Linked DNA regions of Anolis sagrei. The protein of the gene in region 2 purifies or fractionates together with the protein of the main gene of each other region. This does not show direct contact. Links are inferred from orthologs where the notes say so. Each region holds a gene or a part of one and is shown on either strand. Other genes may lie near its edges.

The links. The genes of interacting proteins can lie anywhere in the genome.
Region 1: the proteins of SERTAD4 (region 2) and PPP2R2C purify together in Homo sapiens (affinity purification with mass spectrometry; 3 studies listed by BioGRID and IntAct, counting the BioPlex papers as one, with this or other methods). This does not show direct contact. The link is inferred for Anolis sagrei from reciprocal best matches to the Homo sapiens genes SERTAD4 and PPP2R2C.

What each region holds. Positions count from the first base shown.
Region 1 is NC_090025.1:104,884,160-104,892,592, forward strand, and holds the start of PPP2R2C (protein phosphatase 2, regulatory subunit B, gamma), read right to left. Parts: upstream 3,411-8,433; 5' UTR 3,081-3,410; coding exon of another isoform or gene 3,011-3,080; intron 1-3,010. UniProt on the Homo sapiens protein: The B regulatory subunit might modulate substrate selectivity and catalytic activity, and might also direct the localization of the catalytic enzyme to a particular subcellular compartment.
Region 2 is NC_090021.1:31,232,758-31,240,322, reverse strand, and holds the start of SERTAD4 (SERTA domain-containing protein 4), read right to left. Parts: upstream 3,345-7,565; 5' UTR 3,251-3,344; coding exon 3,203-3,250; intron 3,133-3,202; exon of another isoform or gene 2,983-3,132; intron 2,209-2,982; coding exon 1,863-2,208; intron 1-1,862.

The sequences.
Region 1 (8,433 bases), on a different chromosome or scaffold from region 2:
CCTGGAGGATTATCCTACTCTGACAACGAGGGATCGCCTAAGTAAGTAAGTAAGTAACAGACTATAGCACCGTGGTCAGCAAAAAAGGTGCCAACAATACCTTAAAAAAAATAAAAGCCTTTTTACTGTTTTAAAAGATGATCTAATTGGGCAAATCATATTTTCTTCGTCCGGGTGATAATGGCTGACACCACCAGTACTACCCTGAATTTTATGTCAAAGTCTCTGCCCAAATATGCCGGGCTGCATATGCAACACAGATACATTGCAGTTGACGTGAATATCGTCACCACTGTTTCATCCACAAAGTAAAAAAAGAAGTCGTCTTCAGCATTTGTTTTTTAATATATTGCACATTAAATGAAATACAACACAGAAGTTGTCATGAACTTGTCGTGAGCTCACAAAATGGAACACGTGAACAGAAGTGACGAAGGACACGGAACACACCACACCCGACTGTAACTCATTCCAGAAACGAAACAGGGCCAGGGCTCCTGGATGGGCATTTAGAGGAGCTGGCCATGCTGATTTCTCACCAGTCCTTGTTTCCAGTCCTTCTGCTGAGCTGGACCAATGGTTTGAGTCAGCATTGCAAGGCTGCTCCCGATGCGGCTAGCATCTCAGAAGCAATGTCACAAAGCACTATGTTTCTCTTACTGCTTTTTAAAATGCGAGCTCAAATTTCCTCTGCAGACGGCTATCTTACAGCATATATCCCAATTGTTTAGCTTTTCAAACATATTGTCTATAATATATGTGTGTGTGTGTGTGTACACACACACACATACATTATAATAAAATATATAATATAATGTGTTGTCGAAGGTTTTCATGGTTGGAATCACTGGGTCTCTGTGAGGTTTCCAGGCTGTGTGGCCATGCACCAGAAGAATTCACTCCTGACGTTTTGCCCACATCTATGGCAGGCATCTTCATAGGTTGTGAGGTCTGTTGGAAACTACACACACCCTGTGTGTATGTATATATTATATATGTGTGTGTATATATTATATATGTGTGTGTATATATATATATATATACACACATGTATGTGTGTATATCTATAATATAAGTGTGTGTGTGTGCGCGCGCATGCTTATTTATGTTTAATTTTCAGGTTTTTTTCGGTTATATTTCTAATCTTATATTGAGATTTTTTTATCCACTGTTTTGACTTGTTATTTGTTTGTTTTTGGCACTGAATGTTTGCCATTTTGTTACTTCGCTGGAAATTGCCCTGAGTCCCCATGGGGAGATAGGGTGGTTTATAAATCAAATTTACATATACATACACACACACACACACACCAGCTGTCCCCTGCCACGCGTTGCTGTGGCCCAGTCTGTGTATATGCGTTTTGTGTATGTATATGTGAGTGTATATATTTATGTATATGTGTGTTTGCAAATATATATGTGGTTTTGTGCATGTGTTGTAATGTAATTTTCTGTTTTTTGGCTTTTAAGTCCCTTCTGCTGTGTTTTCCAGTGTTTTTATAAGTGATGGTCACTTGTTGCCCTGATAGGTTGTTTGTGTCCGAATTTGGTGTCAATCCGTCCATTGGTTTTTGAGTTATGCTAATCCCACAAACTAACATTTTTATTTATATAGATACTAGCTGTCCCCTGCCACGCGTTGCTGTGGCCCACATGGGGGTTCTGTGTGGGAGGTTTGGCCCAATTCTTTCGTTGGAGGGGTTCAGAATGCTCTGTGATTGTAGGTGAACTATAAATCCCAGCAACTACAACTCCCAAATGACAAAATCAATTTTTTGAGTGAAGGACATACATTGGGTTGTTAGGTGTCTTGTGTCCAAATTTGGTGTCAGTTCGTCCAGTGGTTTTTGGGTTATGTTAATCCCACAAACTAACATTACATTTTTATTTATATAGATATATAATCAAACACAGACCAATGTAAGATATTTTGAAAATTTAGCGTGACAGTGTAAGAAAAAGCTGGCCAGCTCCACAGACCACCATATTCCAGATTCAACAGAACATATCTGGCAGAGAACTCCATACAACCCCGATCACGCAGGCAGGCTGGTGTGCATTTTAAAAATCATTTTCATAGCCCTACACTGGGAAGCTTTGCAGTACTGCAGACCAAAGGAAACGTCGTTTGCCTATACTGCATTTTTTTCAATTCTAAGGCATGTCTAAAAATTGGATATATCTGAGGGCCTTTCCACAGAGCTATATAGCTCAGAATATCCAGGCAGCATCTGCTTTGAACTGGATTATCTAAGTCTATACTGCCATATATTCCAGTTCAAAGCAGACAAAGTGGGATTTTATCCAGCTGTGTGGAAGGGGCCTGAAATCCCTTCGACAATGCCAGAAAAAAAATCCAGATTATCTATTTGAAGTAGATCATATGACAGTCTAAAAGGAGATTTAGAATTGGATTTTTTTAGTGAATTATTGTTGATTTCAGGTATAAGCAGAATTAATTGATGTACATTTTGATCTCACACAATTCCTCCATTCGGTAGAAAATATTTCATATGGTTGGTGTATTTTTGAAATAAAATAAAATATTATAAAAAAATTAAAAATAAATGTTGGATGACATCTTTTGCATTTTTTTGGTGGTGGCACCGAAATGTGGTTGCGCCATACATTCAGTGGCGTCTTACCATCGAAGAAAGACGGCTCAGCATCCGACACACACGCGGACAGCCTTTACATAACCTTGCAGGTAGGAAGTGCGAAGCCTCCTCATGCAAGGCCCCATCTACACTGCCATGTAATGCAGTTATACTCATATTATTGAGTGAGATGAGCTTATGTTGCAATATATAACCCAGTTTGCTCTGCATGATCATGACAGTGCTGATGAGGCCTAAGACTCATTTAGTTTGGTTCTAGATGCAAAAAAGAGGCATTTCTATGGAGGGATTCCCCCCAAAGGCACCTTCTCCAAGGAGGGGTGGCTGCAGCATCAGCAAGTGAAGAGAAGGGGAGAGGCCATAATGTGGCATCAACCCAAGAAGGGGCTTACCTTCGGTCACATAGTTGTGGTCGCGAAGGAAGCCATGGTTAATCTGCGGCGTCTCCGTGTCCTCGCCCATTGACGGCAGGATTACTCAGCATGCCCCTCCGCAGCGGACCCGGGGAATCGGCAGAGGTCGCCGCAAGAGCACCGTCCATGCTGCTGCTCCTCCTCCTGCGGCGGATCCGGCTGCTTCCCCCGCCAACAACGCCTAGCACGGGCAGCAAGGCTCGCGCCGCATGGTGAGCTTCAGCAAGGCCGGGGCGGCTCCCACGCGCTAAGCAGGGCGCGCGCGACGAAGAAGAAGAAGGCAGCAGACTGCAGCAGACGTCGCCTGGCAGAAGCGGGCTGCAGTGGCGGATGCTGCTCCTGCTGCTGCTGTCATCTGCCTCTGCTGCAATTCCCGCAGGCCCCGCCCCCCAGGACCCTGGCAGCCAATCAGGAGCGGCGTCCCTGGGAGGAAAAAAAAAACGGGTGGGTGGGGGGAGAGGGGATGCGCATCCCAAGGCCAGCTCGCCTGCCCGGAAGCAAAGGCTCCACATTTTGGAAGAGGGCCCAATCTCAGGCTTTGGGAAATGGGCTTCTTGGGTCCTATTGGTGCTTAGCAACACTCAAAAAGCAGGGCCAGCCAACACCTCCCAACAAAGGATTCCCCTGGGCAGGAAGCAGCCAGTCTTTGAAGCTGCAAGGTTATTTATTTATCATAGAATCATAGAGTTGGAAGAGACCTCATGGGCCATCCAGTCCAACCCCCTGCCAAGAAGCAGGAATATTGCATTCAAATCACCCCTGACAGATGGCCATCCAGCCTCTGCTTAAAAGCTTCCAAAGAAGGAGCCTCCACCACACTCCGGGGCAGAGAGTTCCAATGGAGGACCTTCTTGCAGCAACACCAGAAGCACTCTAATACTGGTCAAAGGACATTTAATCAACTACCAACTCACAAATTTTGTATTTTGTCTGTTTGTTTGTTTGTTTGTTTTGTTCTGTTAGAAATGTAATATAATTACCTGGTTGCCCTGACACGACAAATAAATATCCCTGACAGATTGCCATCCAGCCTCTGTTTAAAAGCTTCCAAAGAAGGAGCCTCCACCACACTCCGGGGCAGAGAGTTCCACTGCTGAACGGCTCTCACAGTCAGGAAATTCTTCCTCATGTTCAGATGGAATCTCCTTTCTTGTAATTTGAAGCCATTGTTCCGTGTCCTAGTCTCCAGGGAAGCAGAAAACAAGCTTGCTCCCTCCTCCTTGTGGCTTCCTCTCACATATTTATACATGGCTATCATATCTCCTCTCAGCCTTCTCTTCTTCAGGCTAAACATGCCCAGTTCCTTAAGCCGCTCCTCATAGGGCTTGTTCTCCAGACCCTTGATCATTTTAGTCGCCCTCCTCTGGACACATTCCAGCTTGTCAATATCTCTCTTGAATTGTGGTGCCCAGAATTGGACACAATATTCCAGATGTGGTCTAACCAAAGCAGAATAGAGGGGTAGCATTACTTCTCTAGATCTAGACACTATGCTCCTATTGTTGTTCATTCATTCAGTTGTCTCCGACTCTTCGTGACCTCATGGACCAGCCCACGCCAGAGCTCCCTGTCGGCCGTCACCACCCCCAGCTCCTTCAAAGTCAGTCCTGTCGCTTCAAGGATGCCATCCATCCATCTTGTCCTTGGTCGGCCCCTCTTCCTTTTGCCTTCCACTTTCCCCAGCATAATTGTCTTCTCTAGGCTTTCCTGTCTCCTCATGATGTGGCCAAAGTACTTCAACTTTGTCTCTAGTATCCTTCCCTCCGATGAGCAGTCGGGCTTTATTTCCTGGAGGATGGACTGGTTGGATCTTCTCGCAGTCCAAGGCAGTCTCAGAACTTTCCTCCAACACCACAGTTCAAAAGCATCTATCTTCCTTTGCTCAGCCTTCCCTAAGGTCCAGCTCTCACATCCGTAGGTTACTACAGGGAATACCATGGCTTTGACTAGGCGGATCTTTGTTGCCAGTCTGATGTCTCTACTCTTTATTATTTTATCGAGATTGGACATTGCTCTCCTCCCAAGAAGTAAGCGTATTCTGATTTCCTGGCCACAGTCTGCATCTGCACTAATCTTTGCGCCTAGAAATACAAAGTCTGTCACGGCCTCCACATTTTCTCCCTCTATTTTCCAGTTGTCAATCATTCTTGTTGCCATAATCTTGGTTTTTTTGATGTTTAGCTGCAACCCAGCTTTTGCGCTTTCTTCTTTCACCTTGATTAGAAGGCTCCTCAGCTCCTCCTCGCTTTCGGCCATCAGAGTGGTGTCATCTGCATATCTAAGGTTGTTAATGTTTCTTCCAGCAATTTTCACCCCAGCCTTGCATTCATCAAGCCCCGCACATCGCATGATGTGTTCTGCATACAAGTTAAAAAGGTTGGGTGAGAGTATGCAGCCTTGCCGTACGCCTTTCCCAATCTTGAACCAGTCTGTTGTTCCGTGGTCAGTTCTGACTGTTGCTACTTGGTCCTTGTACAGATTCCTCAGGAGAGAGATAAGGTGATTTGGTATGCCCATACCACCAAGAACTTGCCACAATTTATTATGATCCACACAGTCAAAGGCTTTAGAATAGTCAATGAAGCAGAAATAGATGTTTTTCTGAAACTCCCTGCCTTTCTCCATTATCCAGCGGATATTGGCAATTTGGTCTCTCGTTCCTCTGCCTTTTCTAAACCCAGCTTGAACATCTGGCAACTCTCGCTCCATGTATTGCTGGAGTCTTCCTTGCAGGATCTTGAGCATTACCTTACTGGCATGAGAAATAGGAGAAATGCTCCTATTAATGCAGGCCAAAATCCCATTGGCTTTTTTTGTCCCCACATCACATTGTTGGCTCATGTTTAACTTGTTGTCCACGAGGACTCCAAGATCTTTTTCACACGTACTGCTCTCGAGCCAGGTCATGCAATACTAATCAAGGTGACCATTATTGCAACATTCACATTTGCCTCAAGCAGACAAGGGATTCCGGTGGCGCAGTGGGTTAAAGTGCTGAGCTGCTGAACTTGCTGATTGAAAGGTCACAAGTTCAAATCTGAGGAGCTGTGTAAACTCCTGCTGTTAGTCCCGGCTTCTGCCAACCTAGCAGTTCGAAAACATGCAAATGTGAGTAGATCAAATGTGAGTAGATGTAACGCCCTCTACACTGGCCTTCCTTTGTCAGTGATCCGGAAACTGAAGCTGGTGCAAAATGCGGCGGCTCGTCTTCTTGCTGGGGTGCTGGCGAGGTGTTGTATCACCCCAATTCTACAACAGCTGCACTGGCTACCAATTGAGTACCGGATTACTTTCAAGGTGCCAGTATTAACCTTTAAGGCCTTATTTAGTCTGGGCCGGCATACCTGAGGGCCCGCTTATCCCCCTACCAACCCCAGAGATTACTTCTGTCCGAAGACTGAAAATTTGCTGAAAGTCCCCAACATCCGGAGTTATCATCTGTCCTCTACTAGGCAGAGAGTCTTCTCGATCGTAGCCCCTTATTTATGGAATGCCTTGCCTGTTGAAACCCGATCTATCCGAGACCTTGCTATTCGGAAAGCCTGTAAAACCTTTCTCTTCCAACAAGCTTTTGATGGGTGAATAGCTTGAGACTCTGTCTGTTCTTGTTTTTATTGTATTTTAAAGTTAATTGTATTGTTTTAATCTGCTGTAAACCACTCCGAGCCAAATCGGGAGTAGTGGTATACAAGTAAAATAAATAAATAAATAAATATCAATAGGTATCGCTCCGGCGGGAAGGTAACAGCACTCCATGCAGTAAGCGCTGTTTTAATTAAACTACTTGATACAAACTGGGTATTTGTTTGGTTCATCTCTACCTAAATAACAGTAGAGCCCTGGCAACGTGACACACAGTGGGTTAAACTGCTGAGCTGCTGAACTTGCTTAGCAAAAGGTTAGTGGTTCGAATCCGGGGAGCGGTGTGAACTCCCTCTGTTAGCCCCAGCTTCTGCCAACCTAGCAGTTCGAAAACACGCAGATGTGAGTAGATCAATAGGTACCGCTCTGGAGGGAAGGTACTGGCGCTCCATGCAGTCATGCCGGCCTTATGACCTTGGAGGTGTCTATGGACAACGCCAGCTCTTCGGCTTAGAAATGGAGATTAGCACCACACCCCAGAGTCGGACACGACTAGACTTAATGTCAGGGCGAAACCTTTACCTTTACTATACCCCAGCAAGGGTCAACTCTTGACTGGACACAAAGGCTCCATCTTCACTGCCATATAAAAACTAAATAGTAGTTTGCTGTGAGTTTTCCGGGCTGTATGGCCCTGATGTTTCGTCCTCATCCCCTGATGTTTTGTCCTCATCTATGGCAGGCATCCTCAGAGGTTGAGGGGTCAGTAGGAAACTAGACAAGTAGAGGTTATATATCTGTGGAATGTCTAGGGTGGGAGAAAGAACTCTTGTCTGTTGAAGGCAAGTGTGAATGTTGTAACTTACCACCTTGATTAGCATTTAATGACCTTGCAGCTTCAAAGCCTGGCTGCTTCCTGCCTGGAGAATCCTTTATTTATAGGTGTTAGCTGGCGCTGATTGATTCTTGTCTGGATTTCCCTTCTTTTTAGTGTTGTTATTTATTTTTTGTTCTGACTTTTGTCCTGATTTGTACTGGGAGGAGGGCAGGGGTGTTGAGCGATACATAACTAAGGAATGTATAAAATGTCATTTAAGGAATATTTACTTTTGGAATTATGTATATTGAAATAAGTCCTGTATGGCAAAATTTTGTTGATTGTTGGGATGTATCAAATAAAAAAAAATTGGGAGACTGAAAAAAAAAGAGAGAGAGATAGCCTTTCCGGCTACCGAAAGGTATTATCAGTGCTACCCAAAAGTCATTCAGTAGTATAGATTCAAATTTAATTTTTCAAGCAGAAGACCCAGAGCAGAAGACCCAGAGTTCTGCTTCAGTGCCTACTTTAAAGCTATTGAACATTGATAGTAAATACGTATGTATATATGTATGTATTTTTGCCTGCGGATGTGGGTAGCTACAACTGCTGCAAAATCAAATTGTTGGCCCTCTTGGAAGAGAAAGTCCATCAGCTTGAGATCTTTGTATCTATTCTTTAGCATATTAAGAACCATTAGATTTTCTTGGACAGAGAACTGAGGGAAAAACTAACAAAATTAATTTCAACGCAGAGAAATGTAATACAGAAAAAACAAAATTAATAGATACAGGATGAGTGACACTAACAACAGTAGATGAGAAAGATGAGAAAGAGATCTAGCAGTCTTATTAGGCCATAAGGTGAATATGATTACATAGTATGATGTGACAGCTAAAAAAGCCTATCAATTCAAGGCTGTAACAATAGAAATATGTATAGAGCAAGGGAAATAATAGTAGCACTCTATTCTGCTTTGGTCAGATATTAATAAGCTGGAAAA
Region 2 (7,565 bases):
CAGGAAAAAATGCATGACATCCCACTTAGGCAGAAAAAATGAAATGCAAAGATACCAAATAAGGGGTGCCTGGCTTGACTTGTTCTCGCAGGGAACAAGTTAAACATGAGCCAACAATGTCATGCGGCAGCTTAAAAAGTCAATGGGATTTTGGCCTGCATTAATAAAAGTATAATGTCTAGATCCAGGAAAGTCATGCTACCACACTATTCTGCCTTGGTCAGACCACACCTGGAATCACACTGTGTCCAATTCTGGACACCGCAACTGAAGGGCGATGTTGACAAGCTGGAATGGGCCCACAGGAGGGCAACTAAAATGATCAAGGGCCTGGAGAACAAGCCCTATGAGGAGCGGCTGAAAGAGCTGGGCATGTTTAGCCTGAAGAAGAGAAGGCTGAGAGGAGACATGACTAGGGCCATGTATAAATATGTCAAGGTGGAGGGAGCAAGCTTGTTTTCTGGAGACCAGGACATGGGACAATGTCTTAAAATACAGGAAAGGAGATTCCACCTGAAAGTGAGGAAGAACTTCCTAACTGTGAGAGCTGTTCAGCAGTGGAACTTTCTGACCCAAGTGGAGGCTCCTTCTTTGGAGGCTTTTAAATAGAGGCTGGAAGGCCATCTGTCAGGGGTGCGTGGAAGGCAATTTTCCTGCTTCTTGGCAGCAGATTGGACTGGATGACCCACAAGTCTCTTCCAGTTCTATGTTTCTATGATTCTATGGCAGTTGCTCTCTTGGGAGGCACCTCCATTGAAGCATTAAAACAGTCTTGAGCAGGCACAGGCAAACTTCAGCCCTCCAGGTGTTTTGGACTTCAACTCCCACAATTCCTAACAGGTCACATTCCAGAGATGCAAGGTCAGAAGGAGAAATGAGCTCAGGGGAGGAAGATGCAAGGGAGAAAGATGCAACTACAAATGGATAAGCTAATGAGCAGCAGTTAGATAAGAGATTGATGTTTCATCAACATAGAGTTTCTCATGATGCAATTCAAAGTCAAGTCACTTAGCCAAGAAGCCCTTATCACCCTTTGAAGGGAATCGGCAAGGTTTTCTGTCTACATTTGAGACACCAGCAGATGATTTCCTAAATCCAAACACCGGGAGGGCCCAAGTTTGCACACGTCTGGTGTAGACTCATATAATCCCGTTCCAAACATAATGTGGATGATCTGTTTTGATCATCTAAATCAGGGGTCCTCAAACTTTTTAAACAGAGGGCCAGGTCACAGTCCCTCAAACTGTTGGAGGGCCAGATTATAATCTGGAAAAAAATGAATGAATTCCTGTGCACACTGCACATATTTTATTTGTTGTGCAAAAAACACGTAAAATAATACAATAATTAAAATGAAGAACAATTTTAACAAATATAAAGTTAATTAGCATTTCAATGGGAAGTGTGGGCCTGCTTTTGGCTGATGAGATAGGATTGTTATTGTTGTTGTGTGCTTTCAAGTCGTATCAGGCTTAGGTTGACCCCGAGTGAGGGCCGAGTAAATGACCTCGGAGGGCCGTATCTGGCTCCCGGGCCTTAGTGTGAGGACCCCTAATCTAAATTATATGGCAGTGTAGAAGGGGCCTCGGAGGGGTAAACTACATATTGTACTCGTCCAGAGCATGAACAGACTGTTAGGAATTGTGGGAGTTGAAGTCCAAAACGCCTGGAGGTTCAATGTTTGCCCATACCTGGGCTAGAGTGTAGTCTGTCCCAGCAGCCCAATTAACTGGTAAGGTTGGTCTGAAGACAAAATTAGTACTGATGATGATGTGACAGCAATGGAGGTGGGGGCCCTAGGAGTCATTGTTGGTGAGTCCTTGGGTCAGAACACCCACTCTGTGGCTTCTCCAGCGTCTTACCTGCTGCTGCTGCTGCTGGGGGTGGCCCGCCCAATGAGCGGCCTTCGTTACTGCCCGGAGGTGGCTGGTGATGAGGCTGCGCCTGGCCCTGGCTGCTGGGGCTGAGGCTGCTGGGGCTTGGGATGCTGCTGCTGCTGCTGCTGCTGCTGCTGCTGCTGGAAGAGGAGGCTGCTGCTGCTGCTGCCGCCTCGGAGGCAGGGCTGCTGCTGGTGGTGGTGCTGCTCTTGGTGCAATAACGCGGCTCCCAAAGCGGCTGGAACTCTCCGGCTCCCTCGGAGGAGACAATGGGCTCGCAGAAGCTGCTCAGGGGCAGCACCAGAGTCATGGTGGCGGCGGCGCCTCCGATCTGCCGGCGGAGAAGGAGACAAAGATGGGGTCAGGGAGGAGAGGCGAGGCGAGGCGCAACCAACCACTCGCCCTGCCCTGCCCTGCCCTGCTTTGCCAGGCAGCGGCCATGGCAGTCAGGCTGGCACTCCGCGCTCGCCCCTTACTCTCCCCCTTCCTTCCACTCTCCACCCTCCTTCCTTCCCTTCTTTTCTTTCCTTCCCTTCTTTTCTTTCCTTCCCTTCCTACCTTCCCTCCCTCCCTTCCCCTTCATTTCCTTTCTTCCTTCCTTTACCTTCCTTCCCTTTGCTTCCCTTCCTTCCGCATCCTTCCTTTCCCTCCCTCCTTTCTTCCTTTCCTTCCTTTCCTTCCTTCCGCCTCCTTCCTTTTCCTCCCTCCTTTCTTCCCTTCCTTTCCCTTCCTACCCTTCGCCTCCCTTCCTTCCTTCCCTCCTTTCCCTTCCCTCCTTTCCCTTCCTTCCTTTCCCTCCCCCTCCCTCTCTTCCTTCCTTCCTTCCTTCCTTCCTTCCTTCCTTCCTTCCTTCCTTCCCTCCCTTCCCTTCCCTTCCCTTCCCTTCCCTTTTCCTCCCTCCCTCCTTCCATCCTTCTCAACCCCGGCTTGCCTTCCTGCCCCGTTGTCCCCTCTCCGCCGCCCCTTGTCTGTGGCTTTCGCCTTGCCCGCATCTCCCCTTCCAATGGCATGATTCTCGCCCCGCTCCAAAACACAAACGAGGGGGAAGCAGGTCCAGTAAGTGACCCCTACTACACACAGCCCCAAGGATCCCGGTGGCACTTACTTCCAGGTGAAGGTGTTTCAGGTTGGTCGCCTTTTCCCCTACTGTCAAAGGCGAGCCTTCCCTCCTTGGCTCTCTTGGCTCTGCCTTGCTCCCTTTGCCACTCACGGCTCTCTCTCCCTCTCTACACTTAATTCAGGCACTCTCCTCCGCCTCCTTTTCCTTCCCCCCCCCCCCTCCCGAGAAAGAAAGAAAGAAAGGAAGCTGTAAAATCCAAACAAACCCGCGATGCTCCCAGATTGCAAGAGGGATCACTTGATTCTCTCCACATTCAGCGACCTCAGCAGCAACGACATGGTATGGCTTGTTTGTGCGCCTCGCTCTTCTCTCTGCCTCTCCTTCCCTGGCTTTCTTCTCTCCCCCCCCCCCCTCTCTCTCCCTCTCTCTTTTCTTTCCCTCCCCAAGCGAAACAGAGCGAGACTCTTAGGTCGTTGTTTCCACCAGCCCCGATTGGGCTGAACTGGATCTGCCTCCAGTCAAAACACTGAGATTAAGACAGAAAATTGGCTCCGGTTTCAAGCCGTGAGTTGCAGTCCCACAGGAGCCAAGCACAACATCAGTGGAGCAAGCAGAATATTAAACAGGAGCAGGAACTCCGGGGCCAGAGCCAGGCCGGGGAGTGAGGGGAGCCCCTTCCCTCCCTCCCTCTATCCATCCACCCAGAGAGAGGGAAAACTTTCTGAAAGAGGCAAGCAGACCCACTTCAGAAGACACTTTCTTCTACTTACAGTCCTTCACCCTGCTCTTTGGCACACAAACCAGACAGCCTCCTCTGCCTTGCCTTCCACTTTCCAAGAAACAAGAATAAATGTCTTTCCTTTTCAAGATTCCAGATATTTCTGAACCCAAGTGCCAAAAAAACTCACAAGGAAAGGGAGGGAGGGCAAGGGCAAGACGGGAATGGAAAAGCAGCAAGAGAAGGATTCAAAACCTGCCTGGACTAGATTAATGGGACAGGAAGGGTCATGACGAAGAATAATAAATCAAGATGAAGCCAGACCCAATTTGGTTGCTGTCCAAATGTCTGAAGAATCTCTTTGTTATGTCAGCCAAGAATGGAGGGGTGTGGATGCATTCACCCCTGAGCGCTGGGCTGGGCTGGGGCCAAAAAGCTTGAAGCCAAGAAGCAACTGCTTCCCAAAATGTCCACTTGGAAATAACTAACAGATCTGGGCAAACTTGAGCTCTCCAGGCTGATGCGAAAAACGTAGCTGTCTGAGGCTGTTAGGAATGGTGGGAGTTGTAGTCCAAAACACCTGGAGAGCCCAAGTTTGCCCATGACTCCTTTACGTGTTGTCTATCTTTCAACATCCTTCACAATCTTGAATGTAATAGATTCAGATTCTCTGAAAGTATAATATCCCAGATCCTATATAGCAGCGATTCCCAACCTTTTTTTTGACCAGGGACAACCTTGACCAGGTCCCACCTTGACCAGCACCCATCTTGACCTGGGCCCAACCTTGACCTGGGCCCACTTTGACCTGGGCCCACTTTGACCTGGGCCCACCTTGACCTGGGCCCACCTTGACCTGGGCCCACCTTGACCTGGGCCCACCTTGACCTGGGCCCACCTTGACCTGGGCCCACCTTGACCAGGGACCACCTTGACCAGGGCCCACCTTGACCAGGGACCATTTTGACCAGGGAACACTTTGACCAGGGACCACAAGCATGTGGACAATTTCAACAGAAAGGAGGAAACCATGAAAATGAAGAAAATCTGGCTACCAGCATCTAAAATCAGGACAGTAAATAAAGAGCAACATACAAAAAACAGGGGAGTTCTAGAAGACAATCAATTGGGGCCAGCTAATGTCTTCCAACAAAGGATCTCCCAGGCAGCAATCAGCTAGGCTTTGAAGCTACATGGCCATTAAATGCAAATCAAGGTAGCCAATTGCAATATTGACACTTGCCTCAAGCAGACAAGAGTTCTTTCTCCCACCCTGGACATTCCAGATATATAAACCTCACAATCTCTGAGGATGCCTACCATAAATGTGGATGAAATGTCAGGAGAGAATGCTTCTGGAACATGGACATACAGCATGAAAAAGTCACAGCAAACCACCAATAAAGTACTCCTTAACCCATTATGTTGTCCAGCAAGCTATGAAATGGTCATGTAGCCACCACTCATTGTTTAACATATTTTGGAAATGTTTCCCACACAGGAATATATTAGATATGTCTTCCTTTTAAAAAAAACCACTTTGTTAATTCTGTTTTCTCATCACAGTCCACTCTTCCTAGGAAGGGATATTAGTTCAGAACAACTTAGTCATGGTTAATTTCTTTTGAAATTGATTAAATTCAGGTTACTTGCCACTACTTGTTCCACCGATTTTAATAGCATTTGGGTGTACTTGAATGGGAGACCGCCAACGAACACCAGGTGCTGTAGGCTATAATTCAGAGGAAGGAACCAGCAAAACCACCTCTGAGTATTCCTTGCCTAAGGAAACCCTATGAAATGCATGGGTTCTCCATAAGTAAACAGGCAACTTGAAGGCAGACTCGTTTTTTATTTTTGGGACTCATTTTTTATTTTTGTAAAATGTGTAAATTAAATTATAAATTAAATTAAATTATAAAAACAGTCATACAAACCAGTTCTCTGAAGGAATTCTCCACAAGGAGGTACAGTGAGAGCCACAATATCCCTACGCCAGTGATTCCCAACCAAGGACCACTTGAGCAGGGACCACTTTGACCAGGGACCACTCTCCAATATTAGTCCCAAAAGGGTTAAGAATCAATTTTTTATTTCAATTTCAATTACTTCTACCCCGCCCTTCTCACACCCGAGGGGGATTCAGGGCAGCTTACAAGCAAAGGCACGATTCGATGCCTATATCACATTATACAAAACATATAAAAACAGTTTAAGCAAACTGGTCAACTTTAGATTTGGTTTGGTTATTTGGGGTGCTGATTTGGAAAATTGCAGTGGATAAGACCACATAAGCTCTAGTTTCTGATGCAGAACATATGCCATCCAGTAGTCGCCATCTGCTCGCCCACAGAAAACCATATTTAATAATCTAGACCTGATGTGGTAGCAGCAATCTTTCATGGGTAGTCAGCCTCTCCCCACCCGACATCCCTGTTGCCTCCACACTAGTTGCTCTTGTTGCCACGTGGTTTTGAAGCAACGGTGTAGTAATGGTGAGGCCAGGAACCATATTTTCATTCTTGCAGACCACTGGTGGTCGCTGGACCATAGGTTGGGAACCACAGCACTAACAGGTGAAGACATTTTTATTTAGGCAAACTTTTGAATCTTGAATGTTTAATTAGGAAATTATAAGATGTTCATAAGAAAAGTTGTGTTTTAAAATGTTTTAATGTTTATTATCTTTTATCGAGGAGCCCCCAGTGGTGCCATGGGTTGTGTTGTGCCGGCAGAACTGAATCATAGAATCATAGAGTTGGAAGAAACTTAATGGGCCATCCAGTCCAACCCCCTGCCAAGAAGCGGGAATATTGCATTCAAAGAACCCCTGACAGATGGCCAACAGGTCACAGGTTTGAGTCCAGGGAGAGCGCGGATGAGCTCCCTCTATCAGCTACAACTCCCCATTGTAGGGACATGAGAGAAGCCTCCCACAAGGATAATAAAACATCAAAACATCCGAGTGTCCCCTGGGCAACATCCTTGCAGATGACCAATTCTCTCACACCAGAAGCAACTTGCAGTTTCTCGTCACTTCTCACACAATTTTTAAAATCGAAAATATATTTTAAATATATTTAATTCCTTTTTAATGTTTTTACAATAATTGTTTTAATTGTTATTTTTTACATTTATATCTATTTTACCCGTTGAGATTAGGCAAACCCCCACTCTAGCAGCCTTTAAGAAAGATCTAAAGACTTGGCTTTTCCGATGTGCCTTTGGAGAGTGACCATATCTTCCATTTCTGTCTGTTTCATCTACAGAGTTGTTCTCATGATGCACTTTCTCCCCGCCCTTAATGAAGCTCTAACCCCACTGTTCATCCCTTTGAACTCCTCCCACACAAATACACTTTTCCACTCCTATTTCACCTAGGGTTTTATCATTTTATCTTGTGCATTTGGCCCACCCATTGTATTTTATTTTCCACTATGTTATTTGGCACTGCTTATTTTATTCTGTTATTTTATTTATTTTATTTTGTTACTTTATTTGCTTTGTATTTTATTTTGTTATATTGTATTTTTGGGCTTGGCCTCATGTTAGCCGCCCTGAGTCCCCTTTGGGGAGATGGTGACAGGGTGTAAATAAAAATTATTATCATCATCATCATCATCTGCCTTGAATCCTATACAGGGAGAAAGATAGGATATAAATTAATAAATAATAACTAATAAATAAATAAAATACTGTATTCCTGAGTTTGGCGCTAGCTCCATAAGCGGAAGGAATGTCAAGTCATGCTGCCTCTTACATATTTGTACCACTATGTGATGGGATCATAATAAATTGTGGCAAGTTCTTGGTGGTATGGGCATAACAAATCACATTGTCTGTCTCCTGAGGAATCTGTATAAGGACCAAGTAGCAACAGTCAGAACTGACCATGGAACAATAGACTGGT